Mus musculus: one gene and its partner. The protein of the gene in region 1 purifies or fractionates together with the protein of each later gene. This does not show direct contact. Links are inferred from orthologs where the notes say so. Each region holds a gene or a part of one and is shown in the gene's direction. Other genes may lie near its edges.

What was found.
Region 2: the proteins of Prpf19 (region 1) and Plrg1 purify together in Homo sapiens (affinity purification with mass spectrometry; 8 studies listed by BioGRID and IntAct, counting the BioPlex papers as one, with this or other methods). This does not show direct contact. The link is inferred for Mus musculus from reciprocal best matches to the Homo sapiens genes PRPF19 and PLRG1.

Annotation. Positions count from the first base shown.
Region 1 is NC_000085.6:10,894,071-10,898,030, forward strand, and holds the start of Prpf19 (pre-mRNA-processing factor 19), read left to right. Parts: upstream 1-1,160; 5' UTR 1,161-1,379; coding exon 1,380-1,398; intron 1,399-3,432; coding exon 3,433-3,582; intron 3,583-3,746; coding exon 3,747-3,823; intron 3,824-3,960. UniProt on the Homo sapiens protein: Ubiquitin-protein ligase which is a core component of several complexes mainly involved pre-mRNA splicing and DNA repair. Required for pre-mRNA splicing as component of the spliceosome.
Region 2 is NC_000069.6:83,069,038-83,072,537, forward strand, and holds the end of Plrg1 (pleiotropic regulator 1), read left to right. Parts: coding exon 1-27; intron 28-655; coding exon 656-764; intron 765-1,559; coding exon 1,560-1,699; intron 1,700-2,152; coding exon 2,153-2,346; intron 2,347-3,073; coding exon 3,074-3,133; 3' UTR 3,134-3,254; downstream 3,255-3,500. UniProt on the Homo sapiens protein: Involved in pre-mRNA splicing as component of the spliceosome. Component of the PRP19-CDC5L complex that forms an integral part of the spliceosome and is required for activating pre-mRNA splicing.

The DNA of each region.
Region 1 (3,960 bases):
GAGGCAGGGAACTGTTATTATAACAAAACACCTGAGGTAGGCTACTTTAAAGAAAAGAGGGTTCTCCTTGCTCAAATTTCTAGAAGCACAAGGTTCAAAGAGAATGACGTGGGCAATGTCTAGGGCCTCTTCCTTGCTGGTGTCACATTGCCATGGAAGTCAACTGGTTCATTTGTGCCTGTTCACTCTTTCTTTCCCTATATGAACTCCACCAGGATTCTTGTAATGTCTTATTCTAAAGATCCCACCTCTACATTCCACAGTTAAGCTAGATAGTAATGACACACACCTTTGATTTCAGCACTCAAAAGGCAGAGACAGGAAGATCTTTGAGTTTGAGGCCAGCCTTATCTGCAGACTGAGTTCCAGGACAGCCAGGGCTACACACACACACACACACACACACACACACACACACACACAAACCCAGTCTCAAAAAAACAAAAACAAAACCACAGAAAAACACCATAGTCGTGCTAACTTTCCACTCTTACTGTTTGGTTGCTTATTGAGACATGTTCTCTCTACACAGCTCTGACTGCCCTGGATTGGAGCTCACTATATAACCAGGTTGGACTTGTACTCCGAGATCTGCCTGCCTCTGAAGCCCAGTGCCTGTGTTTAAAGACTTCTGCAAACACACCCATCAAATTTCCATTCTTTTAAACGTACACATAAGACGCTGGGAACTAAATTCCCTTGAGTTTACAAAACAGACTATATTTAAAACGTAGCAGGCAACGAAGTCATTGGCTTGCCCATATTTCCAGAGCAAGAATTTAGGCAGTGTTAGTTTCTTTACTCATTTGTGCTTTATTTACAGGGTCACATTGTTTCTCAAAAGCCGGCCAAGGAACACAGGTCTCCGAATCATGCCTACAGACTCTCTAAGGCAGACTCTAGGAATCTGCACTTTTACAAGCTCCTGAAAAATCTGTCTTGCACACGACCATTTCAAAGACTAGTGTTCCCTAGGTGACAGCAGCTCCATCTAAAAAAAAAAAAAAAAAAAAGAGCCTTGGCGGTCCCCGCAGCCTCATGGGAAATGTAGTTTCTTCTCTCCTTCCCGCCTCAGGCCTCTTGGAGCGCTCGCCGGAAGAAGCCGAGCCAATGCGGAAACAGCCGAGTGTTTCGAGGCGGGCCTTTTCCTGCTCGGTTGCATGCTGGGAAAGGGCAGTTTCCGTTAGCTGCAGAAGGCTGAGGCGCGCCACCGGCCACCTCCCCACGTGAAGCAGTTGTGCGAGCATCGCCACGCTGGGCAGCTGTCTACCCGCGTCCGAGCGCTCCGGAAGCGGCGGGGGACCGGAAGTGGCCCGCGGAGGCTGCAGAGAACCGGGAACCCTCTGTGAGGCGACTGGCAGCAGCGCTACGACGGCGCCATGTCCCTGATCTGCTCGAGTGAGTGCTGGCTGCGGCGGGAGGCGGGAGCGTGTGTGGCCCCTGTGGCTCGGGCCCTGGAGCTCCCGGCCCTGCGTGCAGGGTGCATTTGCGCAGGGCTGCGCAATTCACGTAGCTGGGAAGAATGACTGTCTCAGGGGTCTTTTGAAACCGGCGTCGTTTTACAGAGCTGAGACAGGCCTGAGCAGAAGTGGGGGGGAGGAGCTGGTGCAGTGAAAAACAGCTCTTGGTGTCAAAAAACCCGAGGACATGCCCAGGATCCGCCTCCAATTGTGATCTGGGCTCTAGCGGGTTTGGGCCTCAGTTTCCCCATCTGCAAAATTGAAAGCATTGCAGTGGGCATTGCTTGGGAAACCTCGCTTAGGAATCGGACTTTCCGATTTGCAGAGATCACGCAGTGACTTCGAGACAGGGCTGGAAGCCAGGTGTCTGGCTTCTAGCCTCGCGCAGTATGACTAATGAAAACAGCGAATGTTTAGAAAACCTGTATTGATTTACGATGCATTTCCAAACGGTGATCTCATTTTATGCTTACAAGAATTGTCTGAAGGGAAATAAAGATCCGTGAGTTACAGAGGGTGTCGGAAGTCTTGAAGAATGGGTTTACCTAGGGGTGTGCGAGGAAGCTAAGCAGTGGAGCTTGGCTCTTTGAGCCTGGATCCATGGTTTTCCCGTGCACTATGCTGTCCTGTCTTGGGGTGTTGTATTACGGCATTGCGGGTGTTCTCCCATATTGTTTACCACGTTACTAGATTCCTCGCCTTCTCTATTTCCCTCTCAGAACGTTGCCATTAGTTCAAAGAAGGAAAAGGAGGAGGGAAATGACAAGCAGAAAAGGAAATCTCATACTAGAGAAATTGCAGTTTGCAAAGTATTTACAAACGATTTGTTTTCTTTCCATCTTTGAGACCACACTCTTACGTGCCCAGGGCTATCCTTCCTCTGGTAGAAGAGGGAAAGCTCCCAGAAAGCTTTAGTCGTCGAGTAGTGTGATAAACCAACAGAATAGGACAGGAAGGCCGTGTACAAGATACGGGTTTTAAATATGGCACAAATCCATACTTAATAACACATGCATGGGAGTCCTGCAAAAATAGGTGATTCTAAGAGAAGCCACGGAGAAGAATAGGAGCTTGAACCTTAGGATGGTGACTCACAACCTATGGGAGGCTGAATAGAATTGTGTGGTGAATAAGAGCTGTTTTGTGATGTGACAAGTCGCTATCTTAGAGCAGCTTTCAGAAGAGTCTGATGTGGAGGTAGCTTCCACTTGTCTGCTAAAGTGAACCAGTTGACCCTGTTTAGGGGAAGGTAGAGAAACAAGTCTGAGAAGGTCAGAGAGACCTTGGTTTTAAGCCTGCTTTTGGGGCCTTCATTTCTTTATTTTTTATTTTGGTAGTTAAGCATGCTCAAGGCTTCGTACTTTGGAATATTCTTTTCTGGGCCCCGGGACTTTTGCACTCATTTACCCTGTTATGATGTTTATCAAGTGTCAGCTTAGTATCTGCATTGTCCTGGAGGTCAGTGACAGCTGTAACGGCCATCTTCAAGGGTACACAGACTATTCTGTCAAGCGCTTAGAATAGAATCTTGCTTGGCATGTAGTAGCAGAGCTCTTTGTTTGCTTGTTTTCATTTTATCAGTACTTGTCACGTTGCTTCGGAATTTCTCCTGTTGATCTGTCTAGGGCTCCCACTGGATGACAGGTTTGAGTTGTGCTCTGTGTGCTTCTCTGTCCATCTCGGTTCAAAAATGAGATGGGCAGGACTTACTGACCACTCTGTACAGTACTGGCACATAGGATCTGGGCAGTTATTATTTATTGACTTTTATTATCAGCAGACCAGAGAATTTAGCTAAGTAGTTGGCGAGCATTGTAGGACCAAGTACGGGCAGGCTTGCTGTCACAGACCTTGCTTCCTGATAGCTGACTAGGAGGACATGGTCTTGTTGGGGCTGACACAATGAAGAATCTCCTCTGCCCACGTCTCCTTTTCTCCTGTGCTCACTCTCACTACCTGTCTTTCTCTATAGTCTCCAATGAAGTGCCAGAGCACCCGTGCGTGTCCCCTGTCTCTAATCATGTGTATGAGCGGCGACTCATTGAGAAGTACATTGCAGAGAATGGCACAGATCCTATCAACAACCAGCCTCTCTCAGAGGAGCAGCTCATCGACATCAAAGGTGCCTGCCCAGTAGCCTCAAGTCCAAGGCCAGCTCAGCTCAGCCTTCACCGGTGGGGGGTGGAGCCAATCTGGTGGAGAAGATGGTGGCTGGGGGTGGGGGTGGTGGGGGAGAGTTCCCTGGGTTCTAGTTCTTCATACCTACTTTGCTGCCTCTCTTGGCAGTTGCTCACCCAATCCGACCCAAGCCTCCCTCCGCCACCAGCATCCCAGCCATTCTGAAAGCCTTGCAGGATGAGTGGGTGAGTTCTGTGAAAAGAATGCACCTCTGGGCTAGGACCTGGGGATTGAAAAGATGGGGCCTCCCTCCTCCCTCCTCTCCCCTCCCCTCCCCTCTCTCTTCTGTGTCTGGGTCTTTGGCTTACATGTATGACCGTGT
Region 2 (3,500 bases), on another chromosome or scaffold:
AGGCTGCAGAGCCACAGATCATTACAGGTACGATCTGCTGCTCCCCCTGAGCCGTACCAGAGGCACGGCCGGCCATTCTGCAGCCGCCGCAAGCACCTCCACCTCCGACCGACTCGCGTTCTAGTTTCTCTTTGGATTTTAATCATGGGCATTTGAAATTTAGGATTGCAAGGTGTTTTCTAGGGTTTTTTGTTTGTTTGTTTATATTTTTATCTTGTGTTTTTTATGTATCATTACATAAAAAGGTTAGGCATTGTAACCTATCATTCTAGTATGAATCTTACTTGAATGACATTGGATCTTAACTGTGACTGGAAAGTCATTCTTTCAGTTGGTTTGTTTTGCTAACTACAGATTTTAAAATAAAAAGATTCATTTTTTCCCCTTCCCTGCCATTGGAGTTTAAAATTACATATTTGTTTTTATTTGCTCTTTATACTTAGCCACTCTCTACCGCCTCTGGCAAAAAGTTAAAAAGAACTAAATATAGAATAACTACAGTTTTAGGATTTTGAGGAAATGATTCACAGTGATAGGACTTTCATTTAGTGTACACACACACACACACACACATACACACACACACAGACAAGTACATTGTGTTTAATGGGTTTTAACTTGTGGATTCTGTCCGGTCTCTGTCTTTTCACTACAGGAAGTCACGATACCACAATACGATTATGGGATCTAGTGGCTGGAAAGACACGAGTGACACTGACGAACCATAAGAAATCAGTGAGGGCTGTGGTCTTACATCCGCTACTGTAAGTGTGCTGTGCTGATAGCTTGCCTTTCTCCGCGTCTCAGTGACGCTGAGGCCAGGGGGGCCTGCTGTACCTCTGCCTGTGCTGCTTAGGACGGCCTTTCAGTTCCCATCTGCTGCTGTTGCCTCGTGCTCTGTGGAATGAAGGCCATAGCCCCTCTACAGAGTGACAAATAAGGCCAAGTTGTGGTTAAAGCTGAATGTCAGAGTAGGCGGGAGTCGTGTCTGGACATACAGGGTACTGGACCCACTTTGACCTGTCCAGATTGTTTCACATATGGTGTCCTGTCAGAGACAGAGCAGAGTTAGATTCCTAAGGGAGAAGTAAGTGTGCAGGAAATGGAGGGAGAGACATCAGCACTGCGGTTCCCAGAGAAGGCAGGCCACTCCTGACTCAGCTCATCCCACACACATCCCCCAACCCTCCCCCACTGCTCCCTGCGCCTTCCCTTTCTTGTCCCCTTCCCTTCCTTTCCTTCCTTTTCTCTTGTCATCCCTCTCTTTCCTTCCCTTTCAAGATTTTTTTTGCCCTGTGTGTGTGCACATTTGTTGGGCTAATTAGTGTGTAACACACTAAAGAAAACAAAACACTGCTCTGGGATCTAAAGTAGTACATCTCAGCAGCTGGACAAGGCTGGTGGAACTTGGAGCGAGGATAGTGATGAGTTTGTACTGTGGTGAAGTTACATTTTACTGAGGCTGTCTGGAGCAGTGAGCACACAGAGCTTTTTCAAAGCTGCGAGTTTTCTTTGATACAGTGTACTTTCCCATTAATTCCTGTCAATCTTTGTTCTAGTTACACATTTGCGTCTGGTTCTCCAGATAACATAAAGCAGTGGAAATTCCCCGATGGAGGCTTCATTCAAAATCTCTCTGGTCACAATGCAATCATTAACACGCTGGCGGTCAATGCTGATGGAGTGCTTGTGTCTGGAGGTAACACAAGGTTTCTATGGTGTGTTGAGTGTGCCCTTCTGTTGATGTGAGTGAGTTAGTATCTAAAGCATCACACTGTTGTAGTGACACACCTACTAGGGTGTATGTGCCTGTTTGTAATGTGCCTGCCGTCGTGCTCAGTGGTGTTCCATGCAGCATGTTGCATAGTTTAGACATCTTTGCATTCCCATGTGATGAAGGTAGGGATTTACGCTAGGAACTGCCTGATGTTTGGTTGGATTTTAAATGTTATGGTGTCTATAAATTAGAGACTTAGAGGGAATTAGAGAGAGAGGGAGGGAGGGAGGGAAAGAGATAGTGTGTGTGTGTGAGTGTGTGTGTGTGTGTGTGTGTGTGTGTGTGTGTGTGTGTGTGTTGCTGGTGTAATGTTCAGCTCCTGGGTCATCTGAGCTGTTGAGGGGATAGAAGTAGAGCTGTGTGTTTCCCTTGCAGCTGACAATGGCACCATGCACCTTTGGGACTGGAGAACTGGCTATAATTTTCAGCGCGTCCATGCAGCTGTACAGCCTGGGTCTTTGGACAGTGAGTCAGGAATATTTGCTTGTGCTTTCGATCGGTCAGAAAGTCGGTTACTAACGGCTGAAGCTGATAAAACCATTAAAGTTTACAGAGAGGATGAGACTGCGGTAAGTTCTTAGTGTCCATCTCTGTCTGTCTGTCTGTCTTCCTATCTTCCTTCCTTTTTAGTTTAATTTAATTTTATATTTTATATTTAGAGACAAGGTATCACATGGTACCTCTGGCTGGCCTGGAACTCACTTTGTAGCTCAAGTTGATTTTAAACTTGAAACTGTCTTCCTGCCTCTGCTTCTCCGATGCTGGGATTTTGGGCATGAGCCAGCACACCCAGCTTTCACATGCATTTTAAAGTAAAAGAATTGCATGTCAATTTGACAAGGACTGCTCATTTGAGTACAAAAAGAAACAGACTCACTATAGTACCATCAGTTTCATCCTCTGGATAGTGATCTGACCTGCTCAGGGCTTCTGTGTGGTTTCATTGATGCAGACACATCAGTGATAAAGCATTACGTTTTAAGTACAGTTCTGCCTCAGTACAGTTCCTGGGAAGGAAATGATACATTAATCGTGGCAAACAGGAGACTGCTGAGGGAAGGAGGGTAGAGGTAGAGCGCTGGGGTTGCTGTAATAGCTAAATGGAAATCCAACCGAACCCATGTATCCCTGGTCAAACTTGGATAATGCCAGAAGTTTGTCAGCTGTTTCTAAAATTTTTCAAGAGCCACTCAGCACGTCCTGCCAAGCAAGTACTATGATTTAGCAGAGACAGATCTTTTCATTGAAAGGAAACAAACTAATAAAATCACACTTTGTTTACTGTTCTGATTTTAGACAGAAGAAACTCACCCAGTCAGCTGGAAACCAGAAATTATCAAGAGAAAGCGATTTTAGTGTCTTCATGGCTGTCCTGTTCGTGCTTGGTGTTGATGAGGATATCCGGTCTTTCATGAAAGCTCACTTGCAGAAAACATTGCTGCTTTGTATTTTACAATAAACTGCTCCCATGTCCCTCACCTGTGTTTTATTTCTGAAATAAACAGTTTATAGTTTTAGAAGTAAACGGTAAATATAAAGAATTCAGGCATGTTGAGGATTGTTGTTCCTAACACTATTTTGACTGGGTTTTTTTTGTTTGTTTGTTTGTTTTAGTTTTGGTTTTTATTTTACATGTATAGGTGTGTTTTGCCTGCATGTACATTTGTGTACAACATGTGTGTCTGGTGCCGATGAAGGCCAGAAGAAGTTGTCAGATCCCTGA